Linked DNA regions of Arabidopsis thaliana. The protein of the gene in region 2 interacts with the protein of the main gene of each other region in a pairwise test. Each region holds a gene or a part of one and is shown on either strand. Other genes may lie near its edges.

Region 1 (4,549 bases), on a different chromosome or scaffold from region 2:
TCAAATTCATTACATGATACATTGAGAATCTTCTAAGAGAATATTAACAAACTTTTTTCACACTTGTCAACATGTATACGGTTTTATTTCATGCATGAATACTTTAAACTTTTGTTTGTATATACATATATGTCTATGACAATTCTTTAAGGCATTTTGTCTTCTTGTTGCGGACAAAACTTCACAATTGGTAAGACATTTAAACTAAAGTCATTGTCACTTGGATTCTCTCATATAATTCAACAAACATAAAAGAGAAAAAAACATATAAAAAATAAAAATATTTGTTTAATATTGTATGTATTATTTACATATAAAGCATATTTTATGTGGTATGTTACAGAAAGATGGATGGACTGAAGAAGAGGATATAATACTGATAAAAGCCCATAAGGAGATTGGGAACAGATGGGCTGAGATAGCTCGAAAACTCCCGGGACGCACTGAAAATACGATCAAGAACCATTGGAACGCGACTAAACGTCGACAACACTCGAGGAGGACTAAAGGAAAAGATGAAATTTCCCTTTCACTTGGTAGCAACACTCTTCAGAACTACATTAGGTCTGTTACCTACAATGATGATCCTTTCATGACCGCAAATGCAAACGCAAACATTGGTCCAAGAAACATGAGAGGTAAAGGTAAGAATGTAATGGTTGCGGTCTCGGAGTATGATGAGGGTGAATGTAAGTATATTGTGGATGGTGTGAATAACTTGGGTTTAGAAGATGGAAGGATCAAGATGCCGTCATTGGCGGCTATGTCGGCCTCCGGATCAGCGTCTACTTCTGGTTCTGCGTCTGGTTCTGGAAGTGGTGTGACCATGGAGATTGATGAGCCGATGACTGATAGCTGGATGGTGATGCATGGATGTGATGAAGTTATGATGAACGAGATTGCTTTGCTGGAGATGATTGCTCATGGTCGTCTTTAGACCGTGCAATATAAACAAGTCGAACTTGATTATATCTACCTATATAATTATGCTATTTATGAAATTATGTTTGTGCTTTTAATTGAAGAATTGGACATGTAATATATATTGTGGTTTAATTGAAGGTTTCTTTTGGACTAAACAAAAATTGAAGGTTTTCTTGCTTTATCAGATTTTTTTTTTGTTATTCTCTAATTTCATTTTAATTAAGAATCTATATATATTGTTAAATTTTCTGTTATACTATATGAATGGTAATTGCGTTTGCGGTTAGGAGAAGACGACCATTAGGTCCACAACAAGTACATTTAGTCACTAAAGAATAATTTTATATCGACTATGCTAAAGAAAAAAAGTACTAGTTGTTTACAAAATATCTGGTTAGTATGATGTAATATGGGATAATATGTGTATGGTCCGTTGTATTGTAATTTTCTGGAATTTGTTACCTTACCGTCATAATGACTATATGGTCCGTCGTATTGTAATACCAGAAATTTTAGGCAAAACACAAACAAAAAAAAACGTAATGAGAGTTTTGTATACATTATATTTTGGTTTTCCATTTGTTTTGTATATCACCATTCGAAAAGTCATACATAACTAAAAGAAAAATACATAAAACTTTTGGGATCTATATTCATTAATGATATTTTGACTAACTACATAGAAAATTGAGATCTTAACCAAATACAATAAACCATTACTTCTTATTCTTTTTGTGCAATTCCTCCAACAAAAAAAGAAAAAAAACTTAACAATTTTAGTCTTAACTACAAATAGTTAAAAATAATAATGGGCTTGTAGATATCTTTCCATTTATATGAGATTTGTGATTTAGGCCTATTTAAGTAAAATACACACGAAACCAAATCGACGTCGTTTGGCAACTAAGCGTTGGACAAACGGAGAAGGTCCCACCTGTCCTTGTCTCCACTCTGTGTTCTCCGATTCCAGTGGGCCTCTGACACCGCCATTGGATTGTTCTTCAGATTTATACATATCTCATATCTCATCACCTTCCAAGTTTCAATTTGACTTCTCCATCACACACAACAACAAGAACAAGGACAAGCTTCTACATTTCTCTTAACATAACGTAAGTATCAAGAATCAAAGCTACTTAATCTTAACACTAATATCTCTATATGTAAATCAATTAAGCTACTTTTAACTCCTCTGCAGAGACAGTTTTTGATCTGGGTTTTCAAGTCCGGTGTTGATCCCATTGAGTTTCGGATCTAAAAGATCCGAATATTCAGACGGATCAACAAGAGAACAAGAAAAAAAAAATGAATCTTGAGAATGTTTTGGAATTCACCAGCTTTGATTACTGGTTTAATTGGAGAGTGTTACTATGTGCTATATGGGTAATAGTTCCAATGATTGTTTCTTTATTAGTCTTATGGAAGTATGAAGATAGTTCAGTTCAAACTCAACCATCACTTAATGGTAATGATGTTTTGTGCATTGATGATGTTTGGAGACCTTGTTTTGAACGAATCCATCCGGGTTGGTTGTTGGGTTTTCGGGTTCTCGGGTTTTGTTTCCTTCTTGCTAACAATATTGCCCGGTTTGCTAATCGTGGATGGCGTATTTACTACTATTATACTCAGTAAGTTCTCTTTAAAGATCTCTGCTTTATTGTGTGGAAAGGGAATATCTTTGATGTTTTGAGACTGATATGATTGAGGTTTTGATTGGTAGGTGGACATTCACTTTGATAGCAATCTACTTCGGGGTATGTTTTGATTTTTGATGTTGTGAATATGTATATGGTTATAGTCAAGTTTGTTTGAATGTTTGTTGTCACTTGTGTGTTGTGTAGATGGGATCATTGCTTTCAATTTATGGATGTTTACAATACAAGAAGCAAGGGAACACTGGACTTATCGCTGATCAAGTAGGAATCGATGCAGAGAACGGGTTTCGTTCGCCTCTTATAGATGGTGACAACATGGTTTCGTTCGAGAAGAGAAAAACTTCTGGTTCGGAAGCACTAAAGTCATATGTTCATCTCTTCCAGATTATATATCAGGTAGACAGATTCCTTTGGTTATTATGATGTATAGTTTGCAACTTTCAGATTTCTTGTTTCATTAGTGTATATATGATCACTGATACTTGTGTGTTTTGGTTTGTTGAAAAACAGATGGGTGCTGGAGCAGCTGTGCTTACAGACAGTATATATTGGACCGTGATTTTCCCGTTTCTGTCTTTACAGGACTATGAGATGAGTTTCGTAAGTTTTCGCGCCATTTACCGTATATTAGTTAAAGCTTGTACACTGCTGATGGCACTTTCTACGTTGCACTTGACCCTCTTGAACTTAGTCTCAACTTCTCTAGTGTCAAAATTCTGTGTTTTCAGATGACTGTGAATTTGCACACAAGCAACCTCGTTTTGCTGCTTATTGACACGTTTCTAAACCGTCTGGTAAAACAATTCTTTCCTCTGCATTTACGACGAGTTTTCGTTTTCATTAATGTGTTGAACCTGAGGTCTTTTTGTGATGTTGCTTTGCAGAAATTTCCATTGTTCAGGTTCTCTTACTTCATCTTATGGACAGGATGTTTCGTTCTTTTCCAGTGGATTCTCCACATGTTTATCTCCGTTGGGTAAAACTCTTCTCTGTCATCTTTTGTATGTTACACTTACCGTCTTGATTAATCTTACACTTGTATTCCTCGATTGACTTAGGTGGCCATATCCATTTCTCAACCTGTCATTAGACATGGCTCCAGTGTGGTAAGCCTTGAAAACATTTACATACTAGACACTAGTCAGGATTGGTTTATATCATAATGTTTCATTCCTTAGAATGATTACGCCTATCCTTAATATTTTAATTCATGCATCTGCAGGTATTTGTTGGTGGCACTCCTGCATCTTCCTTCTTATGGCCTCTTTGCATTAATCGTCAAAATCAAATACAAACTCATTTCTTGAAGTCATTTCGAATCCAAGAGTTTCTGCCCCGTAAGAGTCAGTGCTCAAGGGTTACAACAATCAAAGAAACAATTTTTTACCCCATATGTCTAAAATCTTCAAAACAGATCATTGTAAACGCCACAACATTTCAATGCATAAACTATTTACTTCCGATCCAATTCGCATATCGCAATGAACCATTTCGTAAATTTTTCGCTACCCGAATTGATTTCAGCTCGAACCAAATCGAAAGAACTAACCATAGCAACAGAATATAGTGCAATCTTTGCCAAAAGTGTATGAACTTAATCAAAAACCGAACCAAACCAAACCGAAAACCCGAAAATTCAAGGTTTTAGAATTGAAGATTTGAGTGAGACTTGAGAAGCCAAGTCTGGCTCTCCTAGTCTCAAGAGACCCTTACTCAAAACCTCAGCGACATACTCATCAGCCTCCCATGACTCAGACCCCCAACCACTTTCCCTCATCAAGGTATAAACCCTAACCACCGACTCTCTCCTCTCAGCTCCAACCACAGCCCTAATCAACTTAGCTAAAGCCTTATCATCACTTCTTTGATCAATTCCATCAATTTCACCAATAAGACGATCTATCTCATCGAACTCTTTATTCCTCGTAAGAGCATTAACAATGTCTGCGTATAGAACAAGGTCAAGAGGA
Region 2 (3,969 bases):
TGAGATTCTACATGGTTTCTCCTTTGGTTGCAAGGGAAACTGCTAAAGAAGTGGAGATAGGAGGTTATTTACTCCCAAAGGTATATTCAAACCCATCAAGCGGATTAGTCCATTTACAGTCAGCACTTGTAATCTATTACTTACCTTGTGGTTGTTGCTTAGGGGACATGGGTTTGGTTAGCACTAGGAGTTCTAGCAAAGGACCCTAAAAACTTTCCAGAACCGGAGAAGTTCAAGCCGGAAAGATTTGATCCGAACGGAGAAGAGGAGAAACATAGACATCCATACGCTTTCATCCCATTCGGTATCGGTCCACGAGCCTGTGTTGGACAGAGATTTGCCCTGCAAGAGATCAAACTCACATTACTGCATCTCTACCGTAATTACATTTTCAGACATTCCCTAGAAATGGAGATACCACTGCAGCTTGATTATGGTATAATTCTCAGCTTCAAGAACGGGGTTAAGCTCAGAACCATCAAAAGATTCTGATTCTTGAAACAAGTGAAATAAAAGCAAGACTGAAATTTATATTTAAATTCAAAACTCCAATGTAGTTCCAAAGGAAAAAGAACAATTAACAACATACACAGATATCTCACAACACACAAGACAACAACAAGCTGTTGAAACTCCAATCTAACAAGGTCACATTTAACCTCTCGGCTTCTCGAATCGAGTAGGAACACCGAGTGGTTTGGAGAAACTAACAAAAGGATCTGAGGAAGGACTAGTCTTCAATTCCCCTGTAAACATTCCAGAGTTCTTCATAAACTGAAACTCATCCATAGATTGCCTGAGACCGCGGTTAGTTCTTCGCTTAGCCTTTGTCGATTCAGTCAAGCTCATGTAACTTGGCTTGTGCTTTTTTGCTTGACTGCTAGAGTTATCTGAAACAAGTCCAGTTTTTCCAGAAACAGGCGTAGTTGAAGTACAAATCGAGGATGAACCTGAGCTCTCGTTAAACTCATAACCAGGACTTGAAGACAGCATATGAGGAGGAGGTTTTGCAGATACTCTAGTGGTCACATTGTTTCTTCTAACTTGAACAACATCCGCAGTTTCCGGTGATTTCAAATGTTTATGAGGCAGAGGAGGAGGCGTGGCAGCGGTATCAACAGTGTCCATAAGTCTAGTCTCCCATGGCCTAGCAGCCATCCAACGCTCCAACCAACTCCATCCCCAACTATTCTTATCAAACTCTTGACTTTTAAGATACGAAATCGAACTATTCGTCTTAAGGTTTGAGCTAGTAGTTGACCTCCATTGCTACACAAAACAAGATTCCCGATTCAGCTTCAGACACGAACTTAAACAAGATGTTGAATGTGGACAAGTTAGTTACCTTTTGAGCAAGAGCATAAGCCAAAGCACGTTCCCTCTTAAAAGCACCTTCTTGTCTCTGCTGCAACTTTGACTTAATATCATCCACAGTACCTTTCCTATCACACCACCCTTCCTGAGAACATAACAAATCTCAAAACAATAAACAATCATCAAACCAATGAGCTAAAAAGGTAAAGACAAGAACCTCGACTTCTTTCAAGAGATCAGATTTGGTTCTATGTTCATCTAAAAGCTTTTGAACAGCTTGTCCTTCAACAGTCATCCTCACACGACGAGCTCTAACACGAGCTTGTACTCTCACCAAAGCTTGCATGCATCTCAATGTAACAGCTGCTTGTTTCCTAACTTGTCTTCCTCTCACTAAAGCTTGTAACCTCACTATCCCTTTCAATGCCCTCAACGCTCTTCTCGCCTAATTAACAACAAATCCTCAAATTAAACTAAGTTCTATTCCTCTCAATTCTAATCAAAACCAATTAGCAAACTCACCAAGAATCCACGAAAAGCGGTTTGGATTCTAATAGCAGCCCATTCTTCTCTAACAGCTTTGAAATCTTTAGGAGGAGCTCTAAGAACAGTAGCAACAGCAGCAGAGTAAACAGTAGAAGAATCAACACCGTCTGAATCAGACCGATGTTTTCCTCGAAAACCCTTCCATGAATCTACTGAAGTAGTCCTCCATAGCTTCCATTTCTTGTTTTTCCCATTACCCTTTTCCTGAAAACAGAGTATCTCTCGATAAAGCTTTAACCTTTGAACGAGAGAACAAAAAAAAAAGATAATGAACTTACGATTTCATCCTTCTCTAGCTTCTTGAGACCGATAATGGACTTGACCCATTTCCCTGAAGCACCCATAGATTAAAAAGTTTCGATCTTTTTGGCTCGAATTCGTAGATTATTTTTTTCTTCAGGTATGTAGAAAGTTTGAGAGTGAGAGATTGATAGAGAGAGAGAGAATATCGGAGAATGTGAAGTTGTGGTGGTAATGGAGGGAGTGGTGGGTTAAAGAGAAGTTTTTGAAATTTGAACAAATCAAAGCAAAGCAACAAACAAAATATTAATAAAAAGTTTGCTCGAGTCTTTAGGCTTTTGTCTCTGATTGTGTTTTCACACTTATTTATTACTTACACAAACAAATGTGTCTGTGTCCTTCTCAGAGTTACAGGCATGAAAAAAGAAACCATGAAAAGGTACAATAAATTAATAAATATATATATATATGTATGTTAGGCTTTTTGTTGTTTTTTACTTTTTACAGTGACTCACTCATGTTCATGTAATACCTTGTTTTGTTTTATTATTCTTATATCATTGGATTCGAAATTTAAACTTCCCAAAATGTTGCAAATCAGATTTACGAAATACATTCTCTTTCGAAAAGCAATGTTTAGCTTTTGGATTTTGTGATTTGGACTGGTTAGACCTATCACTTGTCTAATAACCTCTATAACAGAACTTATTATCTTATATAATTATGACAAGGTTTTCTTTCTAAGACCATACACATTGGTCTTATGACTCAACAGTCAACACCCTATTTAACTCTCCACAAAACAGCGTTATAGCAATTTAAACTTTACAACTCTATTGCAAATTATAATAAATTATGCTCTCATAAAAAAACTAAATTCACGAGTGATTGATACAAAAAAACAACAACTGAAACGACAAAAGAACAACCTAAATTCACGAGTTAAAGAATCGAAAAAAATGCCCATGTATCTCCCAAATTTAGTTTTCAATATATATACTATTTTTTCTCGCTCATATTTAGTTTGAGTGAATCTTGTACATGAATCTATTTGTCTAGCAACTTTAAGATTAATTAGACATAATAAAAAAAAAAGATTAATCAGACAGAGAAAAAAGATGAACTCTGTAAAGATTGGGTCCTTAGCTATACAATGAAAATGAGATATATACAATTAATTCTAATTGATGATAACTTCTTAAAATAATAAAACAAAAATTACATGAAAACATGTACCACCGAAAACATGCACCATCACACTTGGGATTGAGTCCCGCTCGATACAAATGTAGGGATTTGGCTAATGGGCCGGACAATTGTGGCCCAATGTTGAAAAAAAACTACATGAAATACACAATGAAAGGAAAAAAATTCGATCCAAGAGTTGTTTGTCTGGCTAATGGGCCGGCCAATTGTGGCCCAATGTTGAAGAAAAAACTACATTAAACATACAATGAAAGTAAAAAAAATCGAGTCAAGAGTTGTTTCTGATATGATGTACATTAGCGATTAATGTGCTAACTCACAAATCAACCAGAATGGTGGTGGCATAGCTCTTAAAGAGGAAATGAGATAGAAACAATATGTTACAAACTAAAAATAAATCAAAATCATAGAGTATTACAACACACAAATAAATAAATTGGAAACAGACTCTACATGAAACCCATGAAATGAATTAGAAGAGAGAACACAAAAATATTGTATTAAATAAAATCTTTTGCCATTTTTCAATTGAGGATCATAATACATTGACGATGAAATCCAGAGATTGAATTCCTGATACCAAAAAAAAAAAGCAAATCAAAACCAACTATTGTTTTTTAACACAATTTAATCCACCTCATTTTCATCATCATTTGCAATATC
Region 3 (7,252 bases), on a different chromosome or scaffold from region 2:
CATCTTTAGCAATACTATTTTATTTTTAACTACGAAAAATAAACCTTGTTACGCCGTTATTAACAGTGATCATTTTTTTCGTTAAAGAAATTTAACATTCAAAAAAGATAAAGAATGATCACCAATAAGCGTCATGATCTTCCGTATGGTGATGATAAACATCGTTTGCAGTTTTGTTGTATAGTACAACGTATATGTAGCCGTAACGTGTGAATAGTGTATGGTTAGGGTCATTTTATTTGTGAACTACCACAATTTTGATAGCAGTGGAGATAAGTCAAAGGTTCGTCTTCTAATTAATTAACAGCGATTATTAGACTATCTAACTTTTCTTCTTTTCTTATTTTGATAATAACTATATATCTTCTTTAGCCACCTTACTTTCTCATCGGGTTCTATTTAAATAGGGACAAAGAAAACAAACCATCGATTTGTACTATGTGCTCAATTATATCATATGTTTTGTCTCCATCTATGTATCTATTTCTCTTTTCCATTTGGTAAATTATTTAAGACCCTTAAACTGACTTTTCTCGTGGGCGGCGTCGAAGTTTTGGTTAACAGACAAAACATCTGTTCATGATGCCTGCATAACTCTATGTTTTTATACTACTCATTTGCCCTCTATTTCATGCTACTCTTAAAAATAGCTAAATAAAAATACTTCAATATTAGAAAAAAAATCTTCTTGATGTCAAAAATACACTTTAGATATCCCCTCTAGTTCTTGTGATGCTAATATATTACAAAATTGTTTATATATATAGAAATATTACCTCTAGCAATACAAAAATCTTGTTATATCAATTAAATATAACACTATCCGACTAGTGTTTACTAAAATAACACATAATTTTTAATTATGATCTTTGAATTTTAGTTTATGTATTACGCTTTATAATTTTGTTATCAAAAACTATAAAAGCTCAAAAGTGAGCATCTATACCCTAATTCCGTTTTTATGCATACACTTAGGTTTATTTTTATTACGAGAATCTGTGTTTAGTATATATAAAATAGAGTTTATGAATGACTAAGTTAAATACTTCAATACTAATTAAAGTAAGTCGTATTGATGCAGACAATATAAACTTTAGATATCTCCGCTAGTTTGTATAATGCTAATAGATTCAAATTGTCTTTATGTAGAGGAATTACCTCAAATAACATAAAATTTTCATTTTATTAATTAAATCTCATTTTGTCATTTCAAAAGTCATTTTAATTACTGTGTTATTTGTCTAAAGTATACTCCAAACAAGAAACCAAAGTAGAAGGTCAGTGCCCAAGAGACAAATAAACTTAAGCATGTCCACTCTTTTTAGCGATCGGATCGCTTATCTGTTCTTATCCATTATGGAACATGAACGATGTTCCTTTAAGACTACCACATTCAAACGAAAAATAAGTCATCGATGATAGACTGGATAGTTATAGTTTGATGATCTAGCTAATTGACTTTCATATTTACATAAAACAGAAATGTGTTTTTATCAAAAAAGAAAAAAGAAAAAACAGAAAATGAACAATACATCTCACATGGAGTTTGTACAAGAATCCATAATAATTTTTTGTTCGGTACAGTAGGTTAGATATACATTTGAATACAGTTTACAAGCCAAATGTTAGAAGCAACATATTTATATAGTATCATCAATATACGATCCAAAATGAATTATAGATTGACTTATGGAAAAGTTAGATACTATATGCATGATTGCCAAATACATTGAAAAATAACAATTTAAGTTCTTCAAACAAAAGTTTATAAATGACTCGGTGTTTGACATAACTCGGGGTTGTTTTTCTTTGTTAATTCACACACGGGGTTGGTGTATAAATGACTTCGGTGTTTGAAATGTATGACACGGTATAAATAAAAAAGGTAAGGAAGAAATGAAGAATAGAAGAAGAACAAAAAAAAAAGGAAATTAAAAAAAAGTCAAAATAAATGGTCAGTAAAGGATTTTGACCAGACCGGAGCGGTCCATCCATAGTTTCCCACTACCTTCCCTGATTTAGCACAGAAGAATGGCAATTTGCATGCCATTTATTTCATCTATTCCTCCTTCACTCTATAAATATATTTTAAACAAAATCAATTTCTTCCATACACAAAAATCAAACACCTTTTGAGAGCGGTTATTTTTTCTCTATCAACTAATACAGTAACCTTACGGGTGTTTATTTGTATAGATCTCTGTGGTTTTCTTGGCCAAATCTAGTGAGATCTTTTTGGTTTCTCGAATTCGATGAAAATGAGACGAGGCAATTCAAGTAACGACCATGAACTTGGGATTCTACGAGGAGCTAACTCGGACACCAACTCGGACACGGAGAGCATCGCTAGCGACCGTGGTGCCTTTAGCGGTCCGCTTGGCCGGCCTAAACGTGCGTCCAAGAAAAACGCAAGATTCGCCGACGATCTTCCCAAGAGAAGCAATAGTGTTGCTGGCGGCCGTGGTGATGACGATGAGTACGTGGAGATCACGCTAGACATCAGGGACGACTCGGTGGCCGTCCATAGTGTCCAACAAGCAGCTGGAGGTGGAGGCCACCTGGAGGACCCGGAGCTAGCCCTTCTTACGAAGAAGACTCTCGAGAGCAGCCTCAACAACACCACCTCCTTATCTTTCTTCCGAAGCACCTCCTCACGCATCAAGAACGCCTCCCGCGAGCTCCGCCGCGTGTTCTCTAGACGTCCCTCCCCGGCCGTGCGGCGGTTTGACCGCACGAGCTCCGCGGCCATCCACGCACTCAAAGGTCTCAAGTTCATTGCCACCAAGACGGCCGCATGGCCGGCCGTCGACCAACGTTTCGATAAACTCTCCGCTGATTCCAACGGCCTCTTACTCTCTGCCAAGTTTTGGGAATGCTTAGGTAAGTAAATCACTTCTTACTAAGCAATTCTATTAGTACTATATGTTTCCATTTTTGTGTTAGTCTCATTTTTGTTTTGTTTTTTACTCTAGGAATGAATAAGGAATCTAAAGACTTCGCTGACCAGCTCTTTAGAGCATTAGCTCGCCGGAATAACGTCTCCGGCGATGCAATCACAAAGGAACAGCTTAGGATATTCTGGGAACAGATCTCAGACGAAAGCTTTGATGCCAAACTCCAAGTCTTTTTTGACATGTAAGCTTTTTTTTACATATCTTCACCTAACCCACAATAAATATATAACGCGTAATCACTATTTGTCGTTTAATATTGACTCTTAATGAAAATTAAACGGTCATCAGAATTTAAGGACCAAAAGTAGTAATATTAATCATTTGTGGAGTTTTGGTGGATTTGTAACTAATATATGACATCACTGTTTGGTCAGGGTGGACAAAGATGAAGATGGGCGAGTAACAGAAGAAGAGGTGGCTGAGGTGAGAAAACACACACACCACTCAATAATTATCTTTTTCAAATATTTTATTATATTTATACATTTTTTTTATCTTATATTTATTCATATTCCTGGTTGAATTTTTTTTCTCTTATTTTATACGTTATTCTTGGTTGATTATTTTGACAATTTTGTCCACGCGCAAATCCCCACTGACTTTATCTGCTGACGTTTACTATTAACATCATCAATATATTAACTTCATGTGAACACGACAAAATGGTAATAGATAGATAGAGTAGTAGTCTTTGTTACTTTAGCTTAGGTTATTAATGTTTCAAATACTTTAGCTTTTGTTTTCTAATTTGTTGGTAATTTATTGCAGATTATTAGTCTTAGTGCTTCTGCAAACAAGCTCTCAAATATTCAAAAGCAAGCCAAAGAATATGCGGCACTGATAATGGAAGAGTTGGACCCAGACAATGCTGGGTTTATTATGGTACGTGTGGTCCACTTTCACCCACTCAATCACACTAATGGTATTATGTACGTCGTAAATTTAACCACTCTTAAAATACTAGAAAAAACGTGGAAAAACATAACGTTCTAGAAGTCTTTAGTGGTCAAAATTGGGTCACCATGATGTTTTTTAATTTCCAACTTATTGGGCCATCTTGAACTTTTTACCAAACCAATCAACAAAATCTCGACAATGGGTGGTTAGTGGTTACGATATGAAGAAATGACCAATAAAATTGTAAAATATATGAACTAACACTATAATCCAAGCTTAGAAAGTCTTAGGCGGCTTCCGATAGTATATTGTTTTTTAATTATTGGAGAAACCTATGAAAAGTGTTTTTAAGAAAAACAGTTTGGAACATTAATGTTTTATTGTAACGTTTTAGTTAATTATATGATATGGACATTGGTGAAACAGATCGAAAACTTGGAAATGTTGCTATTACAAGCACCAAACCAGTCGGTGCGGATGGGAGACAGCAGGATACTTAGTCAGATGTTAAGTCAGAAGCTTAGACCGGCAAAAGAGAGCAACCCTTTAGTGAGATGGTCGGAGAAAATCAAATATTTCATACTTGACAATTGGCAGAGACTATGGATAATGATGTTATGGCTTGGCATCTGTGGTGGCCTCTTTACTTATAAATTCATTCAGTACAAGAACAAAGCTGCCTATGGTGTCATGGGTTATTGCGTTTGTGTCGCCAAAGGAGGCGCCGAGACTCTCAAATTCAACATGGCTCTCATATTGTTGCCTGTTTGTCGAAACACCATCACTTGGCTTAGGAACAAGACTAAGCTTGGTACTGTCGTTCCTTTTGATGATAGTCTTAACTTCCACAAGGTTATTGCAAGCGGGATAGTCGTCGGTGTTTTACTCCATGCGGGTGCCCATTTAACGTGTGATTTTCCACGTTTAATTGCCGCGGATGAGGACACCTATGAGCCGATGGAAAAATACTTTGGGGATCAACCGACTAGCTACTGGTGGTTTGTGAAAGGAGTGGAAGGATGGACTGGCATTGTGATGGTTGTGCTAATGGCTATAGCCTTTACACTCGCGACGCCTTGGTTCCGACGTAACAAGCTTAACTTACCTAACTTCCTCAAGAAGCTTACCGGTTTCAACGCCTTTTGGTACACCCACCATTTGTTCATCATTGTTTATGCTCTTCTCATTGTCCATGGTATCAAGCTCTACCTCACAAAGATTTGGTATCAGAAAACGGTACTCTCTTCAAACCTCATTTTATCTGTTTTAATTTCTTATTTTCTTTCCTTTTTCCGGTTAATAACATTTATTACCTGTTTGTATGATTCTTGTAGACATGGATGTATCTTGCTGTACCCATCCTTCTATATGCATCGGAGAGGCTGCTCCGTGCTTTCAGATCAAGCATCAAACCGGTTAAGATGATCAAGGTCAGATATATTTCTATTTATCTCTTGAAAACCTTATGTTTCAAGAAATATTTCAACTAATACTTTTAAACCATCTTATTTTATAGTTCTTTTTGATAAAAGTTTGAAAATTGCCTTTGAACTTAATCTATATATATGTAACAACAGGTGGCTGTTTACCCCGGGAACGTGTTGTCTCTACACATGACGAAGCCACAAGGATTCAAATACAAAAGTGGACAGTTCATGTTGGTGAACTGCCGAGCCGTATCTCCATTCGAATGGCATCCTTTCTCAATCACATCAGCTCCCGGAGACGATTACCTGAGCGTACATATCCGCACTCTCGGTGACTGGACACGTAAGCTCAGGACCGTTTTCTCCGAGGTTTGCAAACCTCCTACCGCCGGTAAAAGCGGTCTTCTCCGAGCAGACGGAGGAGATGGAAACCTCCCGTTCCCGAAGGTCCTTATCGACGGTCCATACGGTGCTCCCGCACAAGACTACAAGAAATACGACGTGGTACTCCTCGTAGGTCTCGGCATTGGAGCCACGCCTATGATCAGTATCCTTAAGGACATCATCAACAACATGAAAGGTCCTGACCGCGACAGCGACATTGAGAACAATAACAGTAACAACAATAGTAAAGGGTTTAAGACAAGGAAAGCTTATTTCTACTGGGTGACTAGGGAACAAGGATCATTCGAGTGGTTCAAGGGAATAATGGACGAGATTTCGGAGTTAGACGAGGAAGGAATCATCGAGCTTCACAATTATTGCACGAGTGTGTACGAGGAAGGTGATGCAAGAGTGGCTCTCATTGCCATGCTTCAGTCGTTGCAACACGCTAAGAACGGTGTGGATGTTGTGTCGGGTACACGTGTCAAGTCCCACTTCGCTAAACCTAACTGGAGACAAGTCTACAAGAAGATCGCTGTTCAACATCCCGGCAAAAGAATAGGTAACTAATCTCGACCGTTAATCTCGTTATGTACGTGATGTTGTATAATAATTAATAAAGTGATGAATTTAGACTAAATACTAATATGAATTTTGATTGCAGGAGTCTTCTACTGTGGAATGCCAGGAATGATAAAGGAATTAAAAAATCTAGCTTTGGATTTTTCTCGAAAGACAACTACCAAGTTTGACTTCCACAAAGAGAACTTCTAGATTAATTATATACGTTGTAGAAAAATAAAACAAGAAACAACTATACAAATAAATATTTATTTTAAATTCTTTTCATTTTTATGTAAAATTATCTGAGTTATCTTTTTTTGTTCTTCTATATCCCTACCGTTTTGTTGGTTACTTTTTCACTACTTAGTTTAATGCCAAATTAAGTATAAGATAGTAGAAGTTTATATAGTTACAGCTTTGGTGTTGTAAACATGTAATCATGGAGTTATCTGTACTATTATTTTGTACTTATATTCGAATATTAACAACTAAAGATAGTTTTGATATTCAATACCCATTACTCATTTAACATAATGAATAGAGATATCAACATTAGATACGTCTTGATTATTTGCTCACCAATGCATTTGCGTGTTTAACTTGTTTATATGTTATTAATAGTGTTCTTTTAGTTAAAATGACAAATAATTTCTTAACTCAAAAGCATCTTATATCACAACTCTAGCTAGATTAGTTTAGCTTTTCATAAGTCTTCTTGCGTTTACGTCTTTATTTATGGGTTGATACCCTATTCACTACTTTAATTTGCCTTGCACTTGGGATAGTTTAAAAGACTTTAAAATTATGCAGCTAGAATATAATCAAAACTTGATATAAGTATCAAAATAATTAAATACAATTGCTATCGATAATAATCAGAAACAATCGTTATGAATGGTTAAGTTTGTTTCCTTAAAATGGTTACGAATGATTAATTTTGTTCCTTAGGTAAACTAAAAGTTCAAAAACAAATCCAACCTACTACAATCTAAGAAAACTGACAAAGTTTATGGTTGATTACAGAAT
Region 4 (4,408 bases), on a different chromosome or scaffold from region 2:
CTCTTTACTCAACTAATTGGAAGAAAGTTCTCGATCTACAAACATAGAAACGTCATAATACGATTCTCTGGAAACGAAAATACTTTGAAAGTGGAGATATATACCGAAGATATGCGGAGAAGAAGCAATACTAACTACGTGAGACTATAAGAAACCATGGTTAGAAATTTTCAGAAATACCTTACTACGGGAGAGCCGAGAGGCGAGAAAGCAGAAGAGAAGTCACAAACTTTGACTTTGAGAGGACGACGTACAAACTACAAACGCAGCCGAACCTATTTCTATTTGGCAACGAGAATTTTAGGGTTTCGGAAAGTAAATCTGTTCGGTTTACTTTAAGGTAACTTGGGAGAAAAACCAAAACGAAAATTTAGGGTTTTGGAAAGTAAAGCGGTTTGGCTAACTTTAAAATTGGTTTGGTTGGACCAGTTTTAATAACCAAAAATAAACCACACCGAACCAAATCAAATCAACCCATAAACTTAAGTTCGACAACGGAAAGCAGTTGATGATGAACTCGATACCAAGGTAGAGGATGAATGTTTTGTGTGAGGAATATAGAGAAAAATCATTGGAAGAGTAATAAGAGAGAGCTTTGAGAAGAGAGCAAACTAGTTGAAGAGTTCAATTATGTGCACAATTAGTTTAAACATTTTAATGACTTCGATGTCTGAATATAATTCTCTTCAACATATATACTCTTATATCATTTCCATCTACATGTGTTCCTCAACAACATATATGAATCACTAACGTCTTCACTGGACAAGATATGAGTGAAACAACTCTGTCCAGTAACATATGTATAAATTATTACACAAGTGGCACATGGTTTGTAAGAGAGAGGGAGATTATGAGCCTAGCAGCTTCTTCCACCTGGCGTAACCAAGAGTGACCATGAAAAGCACAATGCAAAGTGCAGTAACACTCCACACAAAGTAACCAAAGACGCCATGTATGCTATACAATGGACATGGTATGTTCATTCCAAACAAGCTGGCCAACAATGTCTCTGCGGCTATTGCAAACGAGGCTATGGTCAGCGTCAGCTGCAGCTGGATCAGTTCGTTTCGTTGATTATCCAGTTGAATGTTCACGTAGTCTTCTGTGTCGTCAATGTACTCCCTCACTGTAAGAATCTTGTTCCGCATTCCATCCAGTTGCATGAAGTATGCCTCCAACAACATCTCCAAATCCTCCACGTCATCTTCCTCTGTATTGCTCGTCACCATACTCGCACTTCTGTTTGATGTGAGCCGGTGAAGATTTGATGTATTATGTGCTGGGAGGGCAATGCTGTTTGATGCTGTACCCGCCAGTATTGCCTCGGTTTGCTGGTTCTGGATCCATTTCCTTGTTAAGTATAAGTCAGCCATGTCTTCGTTGTCATCTAACAAATGCTCGAGTTCATCTCTCACCTGAATAACACAACAGTTTAATGTTTCCATCCACCACACAACATTATAGTATCCTGGGAAATGGTAACTTATTAAGCCTCTACCTTTTGTACACGAGCTAGCAAGCGGGTGAGATTACTTTTCAAACTTCGTACATATTCAAGATTCTCAGTGCTGACATTCTTAGTGAGTTCATCAAGGACAGGCCAAGCTTCTGTCTCAAGAGCAGCCACACTTTTATCAACAAATGAGCAGACGACCTCAAGTGCAATCTCCAGGACCTGAAACTCAAAAGGAAGCTCACTCTGCAAACCCTCTGCAGCTTCTGGATCAAGAGGAGATTGTACATTCGCAGAAGCTTGCAGTGCATTTTCATTCCCATTCCTCTGAGGAAACTGTTGCTTTAGTCGTTCAACGAATGGAAGAACTTCAGGACGGAGAGGATCCAACAACAACACTTCTTCTGCAGTAACTATTGCCTTTATGACCTCTAAATTCACAACAATAGCTTTCTCTCTGGCTGCAGAGCAAAAAAACAAGCTTATAACTTCAGAAACACAATGTCCAAGCTAATTTGCAGCAATTGTGATCTTATGACCTAATCCAGGAATTAGCAAATCGAAGTTTTTACCGAGAATGTTAGAGGAGTGAGAGAAGACAGGGCCAAGTATCCTCAAATCCCTAGCGGGAACAGAAGCACGTTTGATGATTGTACTCTTATCGCACTCCACCACTTCCATAGCACCAGTCCGATCAAACCTCATCCACAGCCTAGCTCCTCCGGTTTTCTTCTTCGCCTTCCCCGTCGCTCCCACAGCCGATCCGCCAGCATGAATCGGTAGGGGAGGCGGTGGAGATGAAGGCGTCGATGTCTGTGCGGAGTCATCCTTCACCGCAGAACCTTTTTTCCGGTGACGGATGCTTGAAAGACGGCGAAACGATAAGGGGCCCTTCCCCATGGATTCCAGCCACGAAACAAATAATTGTTTCAGTCAACTTCTTCGTCGCAGGTCAGAGATCTGGTGGTGGCTGTAGGAGAAAGCGCCGATCTCTGCCGCTTCTTCTTCGCTTTCTCCAATTCCGATGAATCCTTCCTCTGCCATAAACGTCAGGGTCAGTGAGGAATAGGGTTCGATTGACGGAAAAAAAAAGAATAGGGTTCGATTTTGTAACTAAAACTTTCTTACGGCGAAATTGCTATAGTCGATATCGATGTATTGAAACGGTATCGTTTGGTTTCTGAAGCGGTTTGGTTTTGGTTTTAATTTCCTGGCCAGAATCGGTTTGGTTCGGACCCAACGATCACACAGAACATGTATAATCTATTTTATCGAGTTCAATTCTCTGGGCTGCGTATGCATCGTGAAAGACTATAGGCCCAACTAGATAAGCCCAGTTATCGTTATTCAAACATAATTAACAAGAGAAGAACTCAAGGGCAATTTCTGATGAAGAATAAAATCAAAACAATTCATTTGAGAGTTTGGGAGTTTGAGAGTTGAACCTACAAGCAACACTGTACATAAAACAGTTTAAATTAACAAATAGAGCAAGTAGTAACAAACTGAAACTGGGGTCTTGCAATTGAGTGATCTGGGAAGCTTTAGTAGATTGTTTCTAAGACAATGCTTTTCTATGGGCTCTGTTGCATAAGGACGAACTTTGACAAGCTCAAGGTCAATCTAATGAATCTGTTTTGATCTCCTTTAGTTCCCCGGTAATCGGTGATCTCTAGCATTTTCACAGGACACGACATTAGGAAAATATCCGGACAAGCACTCACAAACAGGTTTCATACTTATCCTCCTCCTCATCATAATCATCTTCCCACATATCCGGACAAGCACTCAGTCACAAACAGTGTCATAGATCTTAAACTGCTCTTAAAGGGTAACAATGGATATACTAATGTTAGGTTTCTGAAAAAGTTATCTTTTGCAAATTGAACTTATTATATTGAGCTTTAACCATAGTAAATGACAGGAAACAATGCATAAAAACAAGAGATTTTGGTTGGAAACAAAACGTAGAGTGATTCAGTTAAACATAAGAGAAGAGGAAACTAAGGTTTTGGGATTAATTTGGTTTGGTTTGAAAAGAAACTAGAATAACCGAAGACAAATTCCAAGGGGACTTTGGCAAAACTTTGAGCAAGTTTTGTTTTCTCAGAGAATTCTTCCTGCTGCAGTCCACTTTTCAGACAAATAATCAGTTATAAGGAGCTGAACATTGCAACTCGATAACTTGTTGTACTCTTCCATCATCTGTATGATAACTTTAGACACTTGAGGGAATCTGAGCTCTGTAGGATCATACTCCTCAACATAGATGTTCATCTCCTTCAGACACGGAAAGTAGACCAAGAAATGCTTTATCATTGTCATCTCTTTCATTGTTCCTCTAAACCCTCGAATCTCTAACTTCTTCACTGGACAAGATGTAAGCGAACGACCTTTGTCTTCCCGAGAAATGCAATCACAAGCATCCCCACATTTATCCGTCATATAGTGTAAGAGACCCTGAAAGCATAAAGGAGACAATAAGATTGTTGAGTAAGAACAACATCTTTAACACATGTTTTCCAAGTAGTTTCATGGTTTATAACTGGACCTCAACGAGTAGAAATTCTACATATGGACATTTACTTACAAGAACTGGCATCGCTTGCCATCCTCGTCCCTCCTCACTCGTGATACCTAATGTTTTGAGGTTGTTGAACAGCGGCACCGATTCACAGCACAGAGAAAGCACCTGAAAACAAGAAAACTAGACATTTTGCAATTAATGCTTCACAACTAGACAAAAGAGAAGAAAAATAGAAAACTGACCTCGATAGTATCAGCAGTTAAGTAAAGTTTCTGAACATTTTGTATGCCATTCATGAGCTTCACCACATTGCTGAATCGGAGAACAACATCAACTTCATCATCTTGTAACCAATCTTCATTTGGTGCTCTTACTCGCTTGATTTGTTTTTCAGTAACTATAAAGTTGATTCGAGCCTCAAATAA

Evidence for each region.
Region 1: the proteins of IQD6 (region 2) and AT3G27770 interact in a protein complementation assay, tested with the Arabidopsis thaliana proteins (one large-scale study listed by BioGRID).
Region 3: the proteins of IQD6 (region 2) and RBOHD interact in a protein complementation assay, tested with the Arabidopsis thaliana proteins (one large-scale study listed by BioGRID).
Region 4: the proteins of IQD6 (region 2) and MGT6 interact in a protein complementation assay, tested with the Arabidopsis thaliana proteins (one large-scale study listed by BioGRID).

Annotation. Positions count from the first base shown.
Region 1 is NC_003074.8:10,285,155-10,289,703, reverse strand, and holds AT3G27770 (plant/protein), read left to right. Parts: upstream 1-1,772; 5' UTR 1,773-2,036; intron 2,037-2,122; 5' UTR 2,123-2,229; coding exon 2,230-2,552; intron 2,553-2,644; coding exon 2,645-2,678; intron 2,679-2,765; coding exon 2,766-2,975; intron 2,976-3,089; coding exon 3,090-3,179; intron 3,180-3,307; coding exon 3,308-3,373; intron 3,374-3,463; coding exon 3,464-3,555; intron 3,556-3,637; coding exon 3,638-3,685; intron 3,686-3,801; coding exon 3,802-3,886; 3' UTR 3,887-4,047; downstream 4,048-4,549. Other genes in the region: MYB118 (myb domain protein 118), read left to right, coding at 344-937; EMB3123 (PPR containing protein), read right to left, coding at 4,216-4,549.
Region 2 is NC_003071.7:11,142,779-11,146,747, forward strand, and holds IQD6 (IQ-domain 6), read right to left. Parts: upstream 2,326-3,969; 5' UTR 2,205-2,325; coding exon 2,139-2,204; intron 2,065-2,138; coding exon 1,837-2,064; intron 1,760-1,836; coding exon 1,532-1,759; intron 1,460-1,531; coding exon 1,346-1,459; intron 1,270-1,345; coding exon 655-1,269; 3' UTR 512-654; downstream 1-511. Other genes in the region: CYP711A1 (cytochrome P450, family 711, subfamily A, polypeptide 1), read left to right, coding at 1-80, 163-492. UniProt on the Arabidopsis thaliana protein: May be involved in cooperative interactions with calmodulins or calmodulin-like proteins. Recruits calmodulin proteins to microtubules, thus being a potential scaffold in cellular signaling and trafficking.
Region 3 is NC_003076.8:19,395,333-19,402,584, forward strand, and holds RBOHD (respiratory burst oxidase homologue D), read left to right. Parts: upstream 1-1,708; 5' UTR 1,709-2,252; coding exon 2,253-2,880; intron 2,881-2,972; coding exon 2,973-3,135; intron 3,136-3,328; coding exon 3,329-3,377; intron 3,378-3,722; coding exon 3,723-3,836; intron 3,837-4,277; coding exon 4,278-5,087; intron 5,088-5,185; coding exon 5,186-5,281; intron 5,282-5,428; coding exon 5,429-6,224; intron 6,225-6,326; coding exon 6,327-6,436; 3' UTR 6,437-6,729; downstream 6,730-7,252. UniProt on the Arabidopsis thaliana protein: Calcium-dependent NADPH oxidase that generates superoxide.
Region 4 is NC_003074.8:21,788,808-21,793,215, forward strand, and holds MGT6 (magnesium transporter 6), read right to left. Parts: upstream 2,670-4,408; 5' UTR 2,357-2,669; coding exon 2,029-2,356; intron 1,918-2,028; coding exon 1,502-1,917; intron 1,419-1,501; coding exon 852-1,418; 3' UTR 525-851; downstream 1-524. UniProt on the Arabidopsis thaliana protein: Magnesium transporter that may mediate the influx of magnesium.